Stegostoma tigrinum: one gene and its partner. The protein of the gene in region 1 interacts with the protein of each later gene in a pairwise test. Links are inferred from orthologs where the notes say so. Each region holds a gene or a part of one and is shown on either strand. Other genes may lie near its edges. The genes, in order: fkbp8 and zfyve27.

Region 1 (9,489 bases):
GACCTGCTCTTGTAGCTATTTACAGTATCTGACTGAGTTAACTCACGATGTGGTTCCAAAAACACTCACATTGCAACACCAGCCAGGAAAATAAGCCCATTGATTGGCACCCAGTCCACCACTTTCAACATTCACTCCCTCCACCACCAACACTCAGGAGAAGCAGTGAGTACCATCTATTAGATGCACTGCAGAAATTCACCTTACAAACTTGAAATATCTTCTGTCTGGAAGGACAAGGGCAGCAGATGTATGGGAACACCACCCCCTGCAAGTTCCCCTCCAAACCACTCTCCATGCTGACTTGGAAATATACTGCTGTTCCTTCACTGTGTCAAAATCCTGGAATTCCATCCCAAATGGCATTGTAGGTCTACCTTCAGTACGTGGTCTGTAGTTGAAGAAGGCAGCTCACCATCACCTTCACAAGGGCAATAGGGATGGATAAGTGCTGGCCCAGCCACTGATGCCACATCCCTGAATGAATGATAAAAAGGAAATTAATGAAGTTTTGTCAGAAAAGAACAGCAATAACTCTGGGCAATGCTAGTCTTCATGTAGATTGGCCAAATCAAGCTGGCAAAGGTACATCAGGGACATATTCATAGATTATATTTAAGAAAACATTTTTAGAAACATATGTTTTAAAAGTCAACTAGGGAATCAACTATTTTGGGCCTAATAATGTGGAATGAGGCAGGGCTAATTAGTTACCACATCATAAAGGATTCTGTCGCAGTCAAAGTGTGAAAGAATTTCATATTGCTAGAGAGTGAGAATCTTTGGTCTGAAATTAGTGCTTTAAATGTAATTAAGAACAATTACAAAGGGACTAACAGACTGGCTAAAGTTGAATGGAAGAAATCGTTGAAAGGCAAAATAATAGATAAACTATAACTGACAGTTAGAGATATTTCATAATTCTCAAAGAAGTGGTGTGTATAGTTTCAACCAATGAATGAAAGAGAGCATCAGTGTGTAAACAATGATAACAAAGTGTGGAGCTGGATGAACACAGCAGGCCAAGCAGCATCTCAGGAGCACAAAAGCTGACGTTTCGGGCCTAGACCCTTCATTAGAGAGCTCCTGAGGTGCTGCTTGGCCTGCGGTGTTCATCCAGCTTCACACTTTGTTATCTTGGATTCTCCAGCATCTGCAGTTCCCATTATCAGTGTGTAAACAATCTTGTGTCAGTGACAAAGAACATAAATAATTGGAAGAGAGAGAAAACAACTCAACAAATCCTGTGTTTTCCTTTCTTCCCCTGTTTCTCCACCCTTAATATCCATGACTTGTCAGTCTCCATGAATCTGTTTGTTTGTGAGAGGGAAGAAAATTTGAAAATGGTAGAGTTTAAGTTGTGGAAGGATAAGTTAGTAATTCATATTTCCCAAATGCCATTGTTTAAAGATCATTTACATGAAATAAACAGTTATTTTTTTGTAGACACAGAAACCTGATGAGTGTTTTCTTTAAGCCTGAGTTCATCAGCAGGTAACTTGTGGACATTGGCTGGCTTGACAAAATCTTTTCACATTTGTGATGACTCTGGGAGTACGGGAACTGCTGCTCCAGTGAGTTGTGACACTAGGCAAGTGTTCAATAGTTCTACTTTTTTTCAAAACTTTTTTTAACCCTTGTTTCTAATGCAGTGAACTATTCACCCCAAGTGCTTTAAAGAACTACTTTTGATGCATATCAACAAACTTCAGACACCTTGGTGCAACATAGAAGCCAAATCTGAAATGAAACCAAATCAAAGTTGTTCCCTTTTTAACAGACATAATGTAAACATGTAACTCAAAATTAAAACTATAGATGATTCTATCTACTTCAAATGCTAGGTTTCCAAATAAAAATAATCATTTACATGAAATTTCTTCACACTTAGTGTAGAGGATGTTCGACAAAGATTCACCAGACTTGTTTCCAAGATGACAAGACTGTCTTCTGCAGAGAAATTTGGCTAATGGGGCCTATATTCTCCAGAGTTTCAAAGAATAGGATATGAACTCATTGAAACTTTCAACATTCTTACTATAATATCCTACAAGCTGTGACAGTATCTCAGGATGTTTGCCATGGTTGGAAACAATAAAATACTGGAGATCACAGCAAGTCAAACACCATCCAAGGGGACAGGCAAGCTAATGTTTCGAGTCTAGATGACTCTTCATCAGAGCTGAAGTGGTGTGGAGGGGACAGCATTGATGCAGTAGCATGGGGAAGGGGCATTGGGGTTAGTGGGTGTAGGGTGCTGGTGTTGCAAAGGTGTTGATAGTTCCTTTTAAGTCATTGGAATGTGAGAATGGCAGAACAATGGTGTGTTGCCTGCCATGCCTTGGCTGGTGAGGTTAGAGACAGGGAACATAGCATGACGGACAAGACATTTAGAACTGAGACAAGGAGGAATTTTTTTCACTCCAATGGGCATTAATCATTGAAAATCTCTATCCCAGAGGTTGTGGAAACTCAAACATTGGATATGTTCAAGATACATTTCTGGTTACTTGTGACATCAAGGGTTATGAAGATCATGCGGGAAAATGATATTAAGACAGATGATCAGCCATGATCTTGGGAAATGGCAGACCAAGCTCAAGGGACAGGATGGCCTACTCCTGCTCCTGTTTCCCAGATATTCTGTCAAGAAAGGAAGACACCATGAGAAGGATGAATCATCCAGAAGAATGGGAAATAAGAACAGGAGTTAGTTGTATATATGGCACCTCAAGCCAGCTCCTGGAACCAATACAGTTGTAACTGATCTTTATCAGCTGCCCCTTCCCTCCCACTTACTTCTTTCTTTAATTCCAGAGGAACTGATAATCCCTCCATCCCAGCCTCAACTACGGCCCAAAATGGAGCAGTCTCCGGGGAAGGGATTTCCAAAGATTCACAACTGAGGAGATCCTGGCATGAGAAGGGAAAGGGTTTGAGGCACAGAGTCGAAGGTGGCTGTAGACAAGAAACAGTCCGAAATAAATTCAGAACAGCATGGAATTTGCAAGCAAATTTGTAAAATCATCAGTCCTTCCTGGATTTGTTAAGCTTTACTCTCTACACAAGAAACCAAACAACATCAAACTACATTTATCCCTCACCATCATTCACTCATTCACCTATTTAACCTTCCCCTTGTGCGTGGCTTAATGTTGCGGTGCCTGTGTGTCAGGACACGTCTCAGTGGTAGCCCCACAACACTCAGATACACAGGACCTCTGCTGCAATGGATGAGTTCAGCTTGTCACAATGCAGGCGGAAACAATGTACCAGCGACCAGAAAGCAGCAGAGGTTGTGGTAACTGGGTGGGTGGGGACAGGTGCTGCAAGTTCATGGTGGTGATGCATATTTAGATGGATAGATTGGACATATGGGCCCCGTTCTATAATGTGCTGCTGGCTTTGAATGGTTTTATTGATTTGATGTGTATTGAGTCTCAGCGTGAGTGCTGTGTCTCTGGGTGGGTGCACATTGAATTCTGTGCTAGCTCACTGGATGGGTGCTGGCTGTCTGGGTGGGTGCTGGGTAACTGGGTGGGTTACTGGGTGTGTGCAGTATGGGTGATGGGTCTCTCGGTGAGTATTGTGTTTATGGGTGGGTGTTGGGTCTCTGGGAGGGGTTCTGGGTCTCTGAGTGGGTTACTGGGTGGGTGCTGGGGCACTGGGTGGATTACTGCCTGGGTGCTGGGAGGTTGCATTTTGACTCCTCCCACTTCCTACAGACTAAGGGGGTGGCCACGGGCACCTGCATGGGCCCCAGCTATGCCTGCCTCTTTGTAGGTTACGTGGAACAGTCCCTCTTCCGCACCTACACAGGCCCCAAACCCCACCTCTTCCTCCGGTACATTGATGACTGTATCGGCGCCGCCTCTTGCTCCCCAGAGGAGCTCGAACAGTTCATCCACTTCACCAACACCTTCCACCCCAACCTTCAGTTCACCTGGGCCATCTCCAGCACATCCCTCACCTTCCTGGACCTCTCAGTCTCCATCTCAGGCAACCAGCTTGTAACTGATGTCCATTTCAAGCCCACCGACTCCCACAGCTACCTAGAATACACCTCCTCCCACCCACCGTCCTACAAAAATTCCATCCCTTATTCCCAATTCCTCCGCCGCATCTGCTCCCACGACAAAACATTCCACTCCCGCACATCCCAGATGTCCAAGTTCTTCAAGGACCGCAACTTTCCCCCCACAGTTATCGAGAGCGCCCTTGACCGCGTCTCCCGTATTTCCCGCAACACATCCCTCACACACTGCCCCCGCCACAACCGCCAAAAGAGGATCCCGCTCGTTCTCACACACCACCCCACCAACCTCCGGATACAACGCATCATCCTCCGACACTTCCAACATCTACAATCCGACCCCACCACCCAAGACATTTTTCCATCCCCACCCCTGTCTGCTTTCCGGAGAGACCACTCTCTCCGTGACTCCCTTGTTCGCTCCACACTGCCCTCCAACCCCACCACACCCGGCACCTTCCCCTGCAAACGCAGGAAATGCTACACTTGTCCCCACACCTCCTCCCTCACCCCCATCCCAGGCCCCAAGATGACATTCCACATTAAGCAGAGGTTCACCTGCACATCTGCCAATGTGGTATACTGCATCCACTGTACCCGGTGTGGCTTCCTCTACATTGGGGAAACCAAGCGGAGGCTTGGGGACCGCTCTGCAGAACACCTCCGCTCAGTTCGCAAAAAACAACTGCACCTCCCAGTCGCAAACCATTTCCACTCCCCCTCCCATTCTTTAGATGACATGTCCGTCATGGGCCTCCTGCAGTGCCACAATGATGCCACCCGAAGGTTGCAGGAACAGCAACTCATATTCCGCCTGGGAACCCTGCAGCCATATGGGATCAATGTGGACTTCACCAGTTTCAAAATCTCCCCTTCCCCCACTGCATCCCTAAACCAGCCCAGTTCATCCCCTCCCCCCACTGCACCACACAACCAGCCCAGCTCTTCCCCCCCACCCACTGCATCCCAAAACCAGTCCAACCTGTCTCTGCCTCCCTAACCTGTTCTTCCTCTCACCCATCCCTTCCTCCCACCCCAAGCCGCACCCCCAGCTACCTACTAACCTCATTCCACCTCCTTGACCTGTCCGTCTTCCCTGGACTGACCTATCCCCTCCCTACCTCCCCACCTACACCTTCTCCACCTATCTTCTTTACTCTCCATCTTCGGTCCGCCTCCCCCTCTCTCCCTATTTATTCCAGTTCCCTCCCCCCATCCCCCTCTCTGATGAAGGGTCTAGGCCCGAAACGTCAGCTTTTGTGCTCCTGAGATGCTGCTTGGCCTGCTGTGTTCATCCAGCCTCACATTTTATTATCTTGGAATCTCCAGCATCTGCAGTTCCCATTATCTCTGATACTACTTTAAGAGATCGCTTTGGTACCAAACTGTGGAGGAACCGGAAGTTGATTTGACAGACATTCCGCAGAAACCAATCAGTGGAGAGGGCGCCGCGTGTTTGTCCAATGAGATCCCGCGGGCGGAGCCCGAGCTTGAAGAGCGGAAGTTAGAGACAAGGTGAGGGACAGAGTGAGCAGGGGGCATAGAAACCGGTAAGATACCCTCCGGGGGCCGTAGAAACCAGTCAGATACTTCCGGGGGTCGTAGAAACCGGTCGGATACCTCCGGGGGCTATTGAAACCGGTCAGATACTCTCTGGGGGCCGTAGAAACCGGTCAGATACTTCCGGGGGCTATTGAAACCGGCCAGATACTCTCCGGGGGCCGTAGAAACCGGTCAGATACCTCTGGGGGCTATTGAAACCGGTCAGATACCCTCGGGGTCTAAGGCCTGTGGTGTCCCCCAGTCTGAGGGCACTTTTGTTGCATGGAGTCTGTTTAATTCCCTTTCTGTCCCTGGATTAATGGAAGCTCGGGCCTTTGCTGCTGCAGTGATCTCAGCTGCCTGCTGTAGACGATCAGCTCTGCCTTCGGGGACCAGACACACACACACACTTTCTCTCTCTCTCTCTGACTGTTCCTTCTCTCTGGAAGGAAATAATATCTGCTGGGGCTCTAATAGCTGGCTCCTAAAGCACCAAATGTTAATTAGCAAACCAGCAATGCTGTTCAACTGTGGGGGCATCACCATTTACTTTGATCCCCTCAGTGTCTGTCCCACTGAGGAACTGGGACAGTGGGAGCTGCTTGATAGGGAATTTGGAGACTCTTGTGCCAGTTCATTTACTTTCTTACTTTTCCTCCCTTGCAGTTTCTGAGCTCACATGGAGGAGGTGGCCCGGGGTTCTGCGGGAGCAGCCGGAGATGCAATAACTCTGGGGAGTAAGCATGATGTCGCTCACACCTCAGGGAAGCTCCCAGTCCATACAAAAGCCTTTCTCCTTGACAGTGGGGAGGATGTTGAGATGAGCAATGATGACACTGATGAAGAGGACACAAGTGAGCTCCCTTCTTTGGAAGACTTGGGACTTCCTGAGGTCCAGGTTGCAGCTGAGGAAAACCCGGAGTCCAGCATCACCGTGATGAACAAAGAGGCTGGAAGCAGGGCAGGGAATCAGGACAGTTCACAGGAAACTGATGATGAGTGGCTTCAGGTCCTGGGTATGGTTCAGCTGTCTCACACACTAACCTGTCACGTACTTTCCACATGTTGGTTGTTTATTCAGTACTGTCGGAGGGCCAGCGCAGGGGGAGCGCCGCGCTCTCGGAGGGCTAGCGCAGGGGGAGCGCCGTAATGGCTGATCATGCCACTAGTCGACATTAATCCATCTGCCTTGTTGTCTGTCTAGGGGAGGACATCTGTTGTCCTTCCCTCGTCGAACCTGTGTGTGACTCCAAACCCACAGTGTTGCTGTAGGTTCTTAACTATCTTCTGGGCAATTTGGGCTGGAAAATAAATGCTGGCTCGACCAGCAAAACCCACAAACATATAACTTGTGATGGCATCGTCACTGAATCCTCCTCTAATCCAATTCTCAGCGCTTAATTTCCTTGCTCACTCCTGCAGGGAACGGGCTGCTGAAGAAGAAAGTTCTAGTAGCTGGCCAGAGTCAGGAGCCGAGGCCACAGAAAGGTCAAAATGTAACAGTGAGACTGAAGATGACGTTGGAGGATGGGACTGAGGTGGAGGAAGATCCTAATCTTTGTTTCACCGTGGGGGACGGTGATGTTATCCAGGTTGGTTTTGGGCGAGTTTCTCATTCCTTTCCAATAGAAACAAACCACTGCAAATGGTGGAAATCTGAAATCCAAACTGAAAGTGCTGGATGTGGCTCTTCTGAACTTGCAAAAAACATTCATACTTGACTTAACATTCACCTCGCGCCCCCCCCCCCCCCCACCCCCCCCCTTGCCACCTACTCCATCCTCCTCCTCCACCCTCACAGATACTGCTGGAGCTGCTGAGTTCCTGCAGCACTTTCTGTTTAGATTTCTGGTTCTTTTGTCTTTACAGAGGCAGGTTCTATGAGAGTACTGTTTCAGGGTCTCGTTCTCTCTTTTTATCCAGGCGTTAGATCTCTGCGTTCAGTTGATGGACCAGAATGAAGTTGCATTGATTGTCTCTGATGCAAAATACGCTTATGGCAGTCTGGGCAGGTGGGTGCAGAGACCTCCTTGTAATTCCCAAGCGTCTGGATGAGCAAACCCCAATCCTTACTACAGACATTATCAGGCTGTTTCTCTGTATCAATCCTTCAGCACTTCAGTCCATGTTTCATTAAGACTCCTCGGATATGGACAGGACAAGCTTAGAACAGTTCAGAGGGTTAGCTAAACTAATTCCTGGGATTGGTTTGTGAGGAATGTGTGAACAGGTTGGACTGGTGTTCATTGGAGTTTAAAAGGATGAGAGGCAACTCTACTCTTTTAAACTGAAAGTGAAGTCCTTTTAACGCTGTCCCCATCAAACACTCCCAAGGCAGGGACAGCATGGGCTAGATACAGAGTAAAGCTCCTTGTAAAATGCTGAGTTGCTCTGTCATCTCTCTCTTGGATTTCTGTCCATCTTTGGCTGACTTGTGTTGGATATTTTTCCACAAGTTTTTTTGTGATGGACCTCCTGGATTTTGGAATCTTGCAGTTAGCAGAATTTCAGCCTGTTGTTTTGAGCAGGATTGTTCTGAGGTCCAGTGGGAACCTTTATCAATGCTGTGTCCCTGGGGCTTCATCTGTTTTTTAAAGTAAATATTCTGTGCAGCATAAGGTATGTGGAACTGGTTGGTATAGTAGGAGTTGTCATTAATGCTGTCTCTCGTCTCTCAGCTCTGAGCCCAGTGTGCCCTCAAATGCCACTGTCCATTTGGAGGTTCAGCTTCTCTCTATGGGTGACAGCCCGGATCTGGAGCTGTTGTCGGGGAAGGAGAGACTGCTGCTGGCTAATAAGAAACGAGAGCGAGGAAATACGTATTTCTTGCGCAATGAATATGTCTTTGCAATCGGCTCCTATGACATTGCTCTCAATATCATCAACTCCAGCTCCAAAGGTAAATTCAGCACCGCACTGCTACGGGTGTTGTTTGAATGGAACTGAAATGAAAGATGTAACTAATCTGACGATAGGGGGTGCAGGATGAAGCCATTCACTCTCTATCATTTAGCTTCTTCCTGGCTCCCTGTACCTTGATATTCCTGTCCAGTCACAGCCTGTCAGTATATGATATAAAGTTATGATCTGACCTGGTCCTTTGTTGCAGTCCCTCTTCTAAAAGGCCTAGCTTGGATTGTAAGGCCCGTTGCCTAACCTGCCCCTGCCCTGGAGAGGCAACTCTCACTCTGTCTCTGTCTAGCAACTGATCAGTTCTTTTCAAAATGCCAAAATTCTCTCTTTAATCGCCTACGTAGCTTAAATGTCCCAAGGAATTTGATTTAGGTTCATGCCTTGGCACATAGCATTCTAGTAAATCTGGCCCATCTGGTTCTGAAGTGTAGATGTTTTTAACCAGCTTGCCTAGATGTTTTGACTTGTGTCAGGAGCAGGTGGGATTTGAATCTGGATCTTTTAACCCCGAATTCAGAACAGTACCACTCTGCCTGGAGTGGACACAGTTATTCCAGATGTGGTCTCATTTCGAGAGCTGCAGCTTCTTCCTGCATCTCTGTTCTGGGCCACCAGTTATCAAGGCACACATTGCATTAATCTTTGGGCATTTCTTGTATCTGACTTACTTCACTTTAATGATTGGTTTATAGGGCTTCCTGAATCTTGTCCTAAAATTCAACATACAAGTATGGAACATTAGTAGGCCATTCAGCCTTTTGAGTTTGCTGTACCATTCAATAAAATCGCGGCTGATCTGATTTTAACCTCAACTCTACATGTCTACATATCCCTGAAAATCTTTCATCCCCTTCGAAATCAAGAAGCTATCCACCTCTGCCTTAAAAATATTTAAAGATTCTGTATCCATTGCCTCCTGAGGAAGGGATTTCCAAAGATTTTAAATCCTCTGAGGGAAAATGTTTCCTCATTTCTGTCTTAAATAGGCAGCCCCTTATTTT
Region 2 (8,630 bases), on another chromosome or scaffold:
GGCCCTTCATATATGTCAATTCATGCCCCCTACCATAGTTCTCACACATAATATTATACATCCCTAGCAGGTCTCTTTCCAACCTCCTCCTCTTGAAGAAAAACAATCCCAGCTGATTCAATTCTTCCTCGTGTCTCAGACCATCCAGTCCATGCAGCAACCTGTAAATCTCTTCTGCACCCTCTCTAGTGCAATCACAATCTTTCAATAAGGTGTTGACCAGAACTGCAGTATGGAAGTTGTGATCTAACCAGCATTTTATACAGTTTAATCATAAACTTCCTGGTCACGTTTATGCTTCAACTGCTTTCTTAACCACCTTATCTACAGATATTGACAGTGGAAAAAATCCATTCATGAAAACATTCAAGAGTTTAAACTGCAAGTGATTAGTCTCTTATAATCTGAACTGTTTTTTTTATGCATACAGCGACCTTCCTTAAAATTGGCAGGTGATGGAATAACAATTGCTTTAGGCATGAACCACCAAACAAACTTATTAAATCATAATTCAACAAACACAAAATAGCAGGAACAGAACAGGAACTTGACTTGAACAAAGATCGGCTATTGCCATGTGGCATTATCTGGTTGTAAGACCAATCCTTTAATAGCCTCTTTAAGTTGTAACTCAAATTGCAAATTTATACATATCTTATAACTGTAGTCTTTGACTTTTGGTCAAACGTTCATAATGATTTGCCCTTAGGGAAAAGTCAATAAGTAATGAAATTATAACTATTTTAATAGATACTATACCAAGATCTTTCAATCAAAATAGTCCAACAGAGTTTTTTTTAAATGAGCAATGACAGCTGCAAGCAGTTTAGTTTTACAACGTAAAGAGCTGGAGATTTTAAACAACTTCAGGTTATAAAAGTTAAACAAACCTTTAAAGCCCTTCAAAATGATTTACATCTATTCTTGATTGTCTAATCTCATACTGCAGGTCAAGGCTATTGAAATAGCAAAATAATAGTTGCTTGAACTCAGTACGATGTTAAAATGGGCCTGATGTGCTTGGGTTTCTGTCCTGATGATTCTTGCCTCATCCTTTTTCCTCAATTAACAAAAGTTGGATGTTAGAAATGGGGCCACAACTTCTGCATCTGAGCCCAACTCATTTTAATGTCTGCAGAGCTTTCTGGCTCTGTGAAAATCTCACCCACAGCTTCATTTTAATTGACTGGACACGTTGGACTGAGATGAGGTTAAATGTCTTTACTCATGGGCTTGACAAGAGCTGAAGGTGAGTATATTCATGAGGAGACTGTTAAACGTCTACTTGCTGAGGAATCAAGAAATACGGGAATCAGGTAAGAAAGGGGGATGGAGACAGATGATCAGCCTCAATTCTATTGAATACGAGAATAAGCTGCAGGGGTTGTATAATCAACACCTGTTCTTATTTCTTATGTTCTTCCCAACTCCTATGTTTAATTAAGTTACAATTATTGTAATAATGTAATGATTCCCTCATCCACTCTAATTATTCATTGAAACTATTTGATTTAGCTAATCATAAGAACATAAGAACTAGGAGCAGGAGTAAGCCATCCAGCCCTTTGAGCCTACCCCGCCATTTAACAAGATCATGGCTGATCTTTTTGAGACTCAGCTCCACTTAACCGCCTACTCACTATAACCCTTAATTCCTTTACTGTTCAAAGCCTTGCCTTAAACACATTCAGCGAGGTAGCTTCCACCACTTCACTGGGCTGGGAATTCCACAGATTCACAACCCATTGGGTGAAGAAGTTCCTCCTGACCTTAGTCCTACATCTGCTTCCCTTTATTTTGAGGTGATGTCCTCTAGTCCTAGTTTCACCTGCTAGTGGAAACAACCTCCCTGCCTCCACTTCATCTATTCCCATCATAATCTTGTATGTTATATAAGACTCCCCTCATTCTTCTGAATTCCAATGAGTATAATCCCAGCCTACTCAGTCTCTCCTCATAATCCAACCCTCTCAACTCTGAAATCGACCGAGTGAATCTCCTCTGCACCCCATCCAGTGCTAGTATATCTCTTAACAAGTAAGGAGACCAAAACTGCACACAGTATTCCAGGTGTGGCCTCACTATGACCCTATACAGCTGCAGTATCACCTCCCTGCTTTTAAACTCCATCCCTCGAGCAATGGCAGACAAAATTCCATTTGCCTTTTTTAATTACCTGCTGCATTCTTATTTAGTCTTCTTTAGAAATGGCAAGATTTCTGAATTTTTAAAAATTAAAGTGTAGCCTCATGAATGACTGAGTCATAAAACCATACAGTACAGAAAAGACCCTTCAGTCCATCAAGTCTGCACTGCCAAAGCGATACTAAATTTACACTAGTCCCACCTTCATGCACAAGGCCCAAAGTCTTGAATGTTATGAATTTTCAAGAGCTCATCCAAGTGCTTTTTAAAGTTTGGGGAGGTTTAGTTTAAAGGTTTGGAGAGAAAATTGGACAAATATCACAACAAAATTTATGAAAATGATTTGTGAGTTAGAATTTTTTAACGCTACGTTCAACATGACAAAATTAAAGAAAGCAGTATCATGCACAAAATCTGAATCAAAAATTATTGTTTTTGTTCTGGACAGATATATTTTAATATCTTAAAATGTAATCACATTTCTTTTGTACAGTACAGCAGTGTGTTCGTCAGGAGGGGCTGAACCCCCCCCCCCATTTCTTCTTTGATACTGCACCTTCACCATACAGCTCTCTTTCATTATCAGCTAACATTCATTAGTAGGTACCATGAAATAGATAAAAATAATCAGTGTCCTTTCAACTAAAAGTGGTGCCCCCTCGATAGTACCTCTCAATGGGGAGGCAATTGTCTAGTAGTGTTCGTTTGTCTGTGAACATACCTGGAAGAGAAGTGGCAGCGAATGAAACATTCAAATAAAAACAAAGTAATGCAGATATCGGACACATGAACTGATCATGCCAATTATGTGATAATAAAATGTGAGGCTGGATGAACACAGCAGGCCAAGCAGCATCTCAGGAGCACAAAAGCTGACGTTTCGGGCCTAGACCCTTCGTGCTCTTGAGATGCTGCTTGGCCTGCTGTGTTCATCCAGCCTCACATTTTATTATCTTGGAATTCTCCAGCATCTGCAGTTCCCATTATCTCATGCCAATTATGTGTTTGCTCAAAAGCAAGGAAAAGATACACAACTTTTGGAACAGTAAAGGAATTAAGGGCCATGGTAAGCCGATGGGTAAGTGGAGCTGAGCCCATGAGAAGATCAGCCATGATCTTATTAATAGGTGGAGCATGCTTAAGGGGCCAGATGGCCTACTCTTGGTCCTATTTCATATGTTCTCTCAAAGTGGGTGATCAGGCATTGCCATTAAAAATGCTACCATGATCCATTTGTGCACATGCAGTTACATGGTCAGAAGTACGGTGAGACTTTTATTTATTCATTGTTATTGACCTCTGTAGTAAGAGAAAAGTTTACCCCTATCTATGCTTCTCATAACTTTATGCACCCCAATCAGGACACCCCCATAGCTTTCTTTTCTCTAAGGAAAATGATGTTTCCTACAAAATTCAAGCCAGCAACTTTGAATTTCCAGCGGTCTAGTGGTATTATCGCTAGAATACTAACACAAAGGACCAGATAGCATTCCGGGGACATGGGTTCAGATCACACCATGGCAGATGGTGGAATTTGAATTGATAAAAATCTGGAATGAAGACTCTAATTCAAACCATTGTCAATTGTCAGAATAGCCCACCTGTCATCCAGGAAAGAGGAAACTAGTAACCTTACCTAGTCTGGTTTACGTGACTCTAGACCAACCACAATGTGGTTGATTCTCAACTGCATTCTGGGCAATTAGAAACGGACAATAAATGTTGAACTAGCTAGCGACATCCATGCCTCATGATTGAATAAAAGAAACATGTCGCGTATAGTGCTCAGCATTAGTGAGCAGGAAGCTACCTGCATCCCACCAAGTGGATTGGTTACCTTGGATGGCCAGTTTGAGACGCAGAGGCATGTCCATTCAAAATGGATCATTTGCAGCACTGGCTAAGGTTACCATTGACGGCTCACCTTCTCAACCTCTCCCCTCACCGGAGACATGGTGACCCTGAGGTTAAACCACCACCAGTGCTCTTTCTCACTCACTCTCTTACTAGAAAGAGAGAAGAGCTATGGCCTGGTAAGACAAAGCTGGATTTGAACATTTGAGGTTATTTTTCTAATCAACGGGGCAGGTGGGACGTGAAGCCTGGCCTCCTGGCTCAGAGTCAGGGGCGCTACTACGCTGCTGGCGGTTCCTGGGGAGGTGAGAGCGCCCCCTGCAGCAGCGGCGGACACATCGGACAGGCCTGCATCGATGCGGGAGGAGCTCGATTGCTGCGGCCTGCCTCGGGAGTTGGGGGGCGGGGCGGGGCGGGGCGTGAGGTGACGGTTGGCTCGGAGCGAGGAGACCGACAGAGAGACTGGGCGGAGGAAGCGAAAACAAACGGCAGCGGTCCGGTGCGGGAGCGGCGCCTTCCGAGGAAGCACGGGGGAGGAAGAGGAGGAGGAGCGGGAAGAAGAAGGCGGCGGCCCGCAGTGGGGAATATAATAAATAAATTAGCACGAAGGGAAGGAGAGAGCGGCAGCGTCCGAAACCATCATGGCCGCCACCGGCTGTGGTCTCCTAGCAACCGCGTGACCCTCCCGTGACCCCTGTATGCAGTCACCAGCCCAGCGTTGTGTTGACCGGGCTGGAAACCCACTGCAGCAGCAATACCTCAATTTCATCTAAAACCCTTATTACCTGTGGTGTTCCACATTGCTTCATTGTATAGCTGCGTGTCAGTGTAGATGTTTAGATACTAGAGGTGCAGGTGCAATATTTGTATCTTCCAGACGTGCATTGGGAGCTATGCAGTCTGCAGTGGGCGCTGCCCCTACCTGGGAGGCTGCTGGCCCGGCAGAGGCTGCGGGGGAAAGGAGGAACTCTGCTGGCAGCCCACCCGCCACCAGCACTGCTGCTGCCAGCTGTGCCAGCAGCCCCCCACTCAGTGCCAGCTGCCCCCTGCCCGAGATGGAAGCCAGCCCCCTGGTGGAGCCCAAGACCAGGCACAGACCCCCTCAGACCTTTGACCTCCTGAGCCTGGTCGTGGCTTTCAAGAGGCTAGAGTTCTTCGCAGAGCCACTCTACGACGCTTGGGAGATGGTGAAGTATTTGATCAGGTGTGTTTGTTTATGTTCCTCTTTGTCAGTTTGCCCCCTAACTTGGTGGCTGATAGTCTGTTTTGTTTTGCTATTTACAATGGTTTTTATTTTTGCAGAAACTTATTGGTACAGGTTTTGTTTTCTCCCGTGTTTGTGGGGACCGGAATAGGCCAAAGGGGCAAGAATAAACATGAGTTATTTGGTTAAGATGGTATTTTCCATCGCACAATGATGTATTTTGATGCAACTTTTGTTAGCTAATGGACACCAGTTTATCAAATACAGCTAAACTGTTATCTAGCTTTGTGAAATATACATGACTGTCAAAAGGTTTCATTTATGAATTGTAAATGTGAAGACTGTAATTACATGATTCAGACTGAGCAGTATCTTACCAACATACCATTTAAGACTCTCGGCCCATTTAGCCTGCTCTGCCATTCAATAGGGCCATGGCTTCGCTGATTACTCTACAGTGCTGCTGACAGGGTGTTGGAAATGTTTTATAACCAGTTAATTACTTCAAGCCACAATGGCACTGTTGTAGTCCACTAGCTCTGGTCTGCTCATTCATGACATCAAAATCGCATGACTAAATTAGTTTGGTGCCATTTAGAAGCTAGTTGTCCTTGCCCTGGAATGGTAAGAGGATTTGAATCTGAAGTACTAAGAGGATTTAGCTGCTGAGAGCGTGGTGCGAGGCAGTGCTGTTTGAGGTGTTTCAATCAAATGTGCTAACATGTGAGAGGCCTGCTTATCACTCTTTGCATCCCAGGCTAAAATCCTGCTTATCCAACATTAGCATCCTCTCTCATGCCAACATTCCTAGCACATGCCTGACATAAGACATGATGCCTGCTCTGAGCTCTGTCATGGCAAGTGGTTACCAACAAGGTACAGGAAACATTTCAAGATGTTGTCAAAACCTCCCTGAAAAAAACAATGTCCTCACAGAATCTTGAGAACCCCTTGACTGTGATTTGTCCAAACTGGAGAAGAAATATCCATGAAGGTCTCATCAGTCTCGATCAACTTGGAGGGAAGCAGGTGGAAGCCAGTACAAACAATGAAAGGAGTGTGCACAGATGCAGGCATCCAATCCACTCGCCTGTTGAGATACCACCTATACCATCTGATAGTGTCAGCAGATCCAGCACTGGGCTCTTAGTCACCAGGACTCATCGCACTGAAATAGAAGAAAGTCATCTTCAATTCAAGGATCTGCCACACAAGAAGAGACCAAGGGAGCAGCAAGAGTGATATTGAAAGTGATAAGTCATCTGACACCTCAAACTGCGTTCCCTCTACTGTGTCCAGCCAGTGCATGCAGAAAGCATTGGCATGATTGTGCGCAGACCTTCAGTGCAGCTGCACACACAAACACAGCTTAGTGGGAACATTGCGTGGAATGACAGTGGCCAATGAATCAATATGATCATTGTTGCCAACTTTATTTATTTAAGTGAGACAGTGCAAGCAATTTGTGCGCTGTTTGTCCCATTAACAGCCTCAGTGATAATATTTCCACGCTGGTAATTAAGTTGTAGAAAGAAAATAATTCTACCTTATCACATTTGGAACATGAGTTAGAGTTGCAGAAGGCCATTAACACTGAGATGAGAAGAAATTCCTTCAATGAAAGGATTGTGAATCTTTGGAATTCCCTTTATCTGCTTTGGGTGTTTGGTTTTTGAATATAATCAAGAACCGTTTGATAGATGTTTGAAAAGTGAAAGGTATGGGGATTGTAAGGGCAGGTGGAGCTGAGATAAAAAATAAGTTACCGTCTTGTTAAATGGCGACATAGATTTGAGGGGCCAAGTGATGTCTATATGGCCCTTTTTCACATTGTCCCTCTGTTGTGAAATTTATGATAACATAACTAATGGACAAATTGGTGCTTGTAAATGGTTACATATTGTTGTTAGAATTTACAGAAGAGGCTTTTTGCGGTCCATCATGCAGTTTGTGATTGCTAAGCATGGCAGAGATGCGCCACTGCTGACATCTGGATGCTATCTTGAATTAATGTCTCTCTCCCTGTGTAAGTGAACAGTGAATATTCTGTGATAACAAAGCCTAGAGCTGGATGTACACAGCAAGCCACCCAGCATCTTAGGAGTGATAATGGGAACTGCAGATGCTGGAGAATCCAAGATAATAAAATGTGAGGCTGGATGAACACAGCAGACCAAGCAGCATCTCAGGAGTACAAAAGCTGACGTTTCGGGCCTAGACCCTTCATCAGAGAGGGGGATGGGGTGAGGGTTCTGGAATAAATAGGGAGAGAGGGGGAGCCAGACCGAAGATGGAGGGAGAGGAGAGTTTGGTGGGGAGGTAGGGAGGGGATAGGTCAGTCCAGGGAAGACGGACAGATCGAGGAGGTGGGATCAGGTTAGTAGGTAGGAGATGGAGTTGCGGCCTGGGGTGGGAGGAAGGGATGGGTGAGAGGAAGAACAGGTTAGGGAGGCAGAGACAGGTTGGACTGGTTTTGAGATGCGTTCAACCAGCACTACATTTTGTTATCTCAGATTCTCCAGCATCTGCAGTTCTTATTATTAGTGAATATCCTGTATTACAATTCCCTGACGAACATGTTTTGACTGTGACCCAGAACCATAGAAAAATTTTAGCACAAAGACTCAACCTACCCATTATGTCTGCACTGGCTGAATATTTTAGTCACCTCTTCTAATCCCAGTTACCAGCATCTGGTCTGTAGCCTTTCAGGTTGCAGCTTTTCAGGTGCAGATGCTGCTTCCTTTTAACTGAGTTGAGGATTCCTTACTTAATCACCCAGCTGGGCAGTGAATCGCAGACACTAACACCCTCTGGGTGACAAAGCTTTTCCTTGAGCCCCGTCTAATATTTCTGCCAATCACCTTAAACCTGTGCCCCCTGGCAATTGACCTCTGTGCTTGAGAAAAGAGGTCTTCTCTGCCCAATCTATCCAAGTCTTCCATTATTTCATCCAACTCAAGCACGTCAACTGCCAGCCTCCTCTGTTCTAAGAAAGCATCCCTAGTCTATTCGAGTTTTACTTTATGCCTGCAATTTTCAAGCTCTGGCAACGTTTGTTTGTCTCTCTTGCACACTCTCTTCCCCCATATCCCGTGTGCTTTAATATTTCTGACCAGTATGCCACATGGAAGCTTGTTAATTGTCTTACTAAAATCCAACATTCGCCCTTCAATAGAAACAGATTCTCTTCCTTTTGATATGCACATTCCATGAAATCAGTCTTCATGTGCTGAGAGACAGTAAGAACTGCAGGTGCTGGAGTCAGACCTAACACATCGTGGTGCTAGAGGAACGCAACAGGCCAGACAGCATCAGAGAAGCAGGAAAGTTGACTTTTTGCGTTGGAACACTTCTTCAGAAATTGTTGGGGGTGGAGAGCTCAGAAATAAATAGAGGACGGGTGGGGCTGGGATTAGTAGGGTGT

The links.
Region 2: the proteins of fkbp8 (region 1) and zfyve27 interact in binary tests that used the Homo sapiens proteins (3 or more experiments, as listed by UniProt). The link is inferred for Stegostoma tigrinum from reciprocal best matches to the Homo sapiens genes FKBP8 and ZFYVE27.

Annotation. Positions count from the first base shown.
Region 1 is NC_081383.1:1,566,190-1,575,678, reverse strand, and holds the start of fkbp8 (peptidyl-prolyl cis-trans isomerase FKBP8), read left to right. Parts: upstream 1-5,440; 5' UTR 5,441-5,548; exon of another isoform or gene 5,549-5,583; intron 5,584-6,241; 5' UTR 6,242-6,254; coding exon 6,255-6,591; intron 6,592-6,997; coding exon 6,998-7,167; intron 7,168-7,498; coding exon 7,499-7,587; intron 7,588-8,253; coding exon 8,254-8,474; intron 8,475-9,489. UniProt on the Homo sapiens protein: Constitutively inactive PPiase, which becomes active when bound to calmodulin and calcium. Seems to act as a chaperone for BCL2, targets it to the mitochondria and modulates its phosphorylation state.
Region 2 is NC_081373.1:11,490,090-11,498,719, reverse strand, and holds the start of zfyve27 (protrudin), read left to right. Parts: upstream 1-4,414; 5' UTR 4,415-4,892; coding exon 4,893-5,203; intron 5,204-8,630. UniProt on the Homo sapiens protein: Key regulator of RAB11-dependent vesicular trafficking during neurite extension through polarized membrane transport. Promotes axonal elongation and contributes to the establishment of neuronal cell polarity.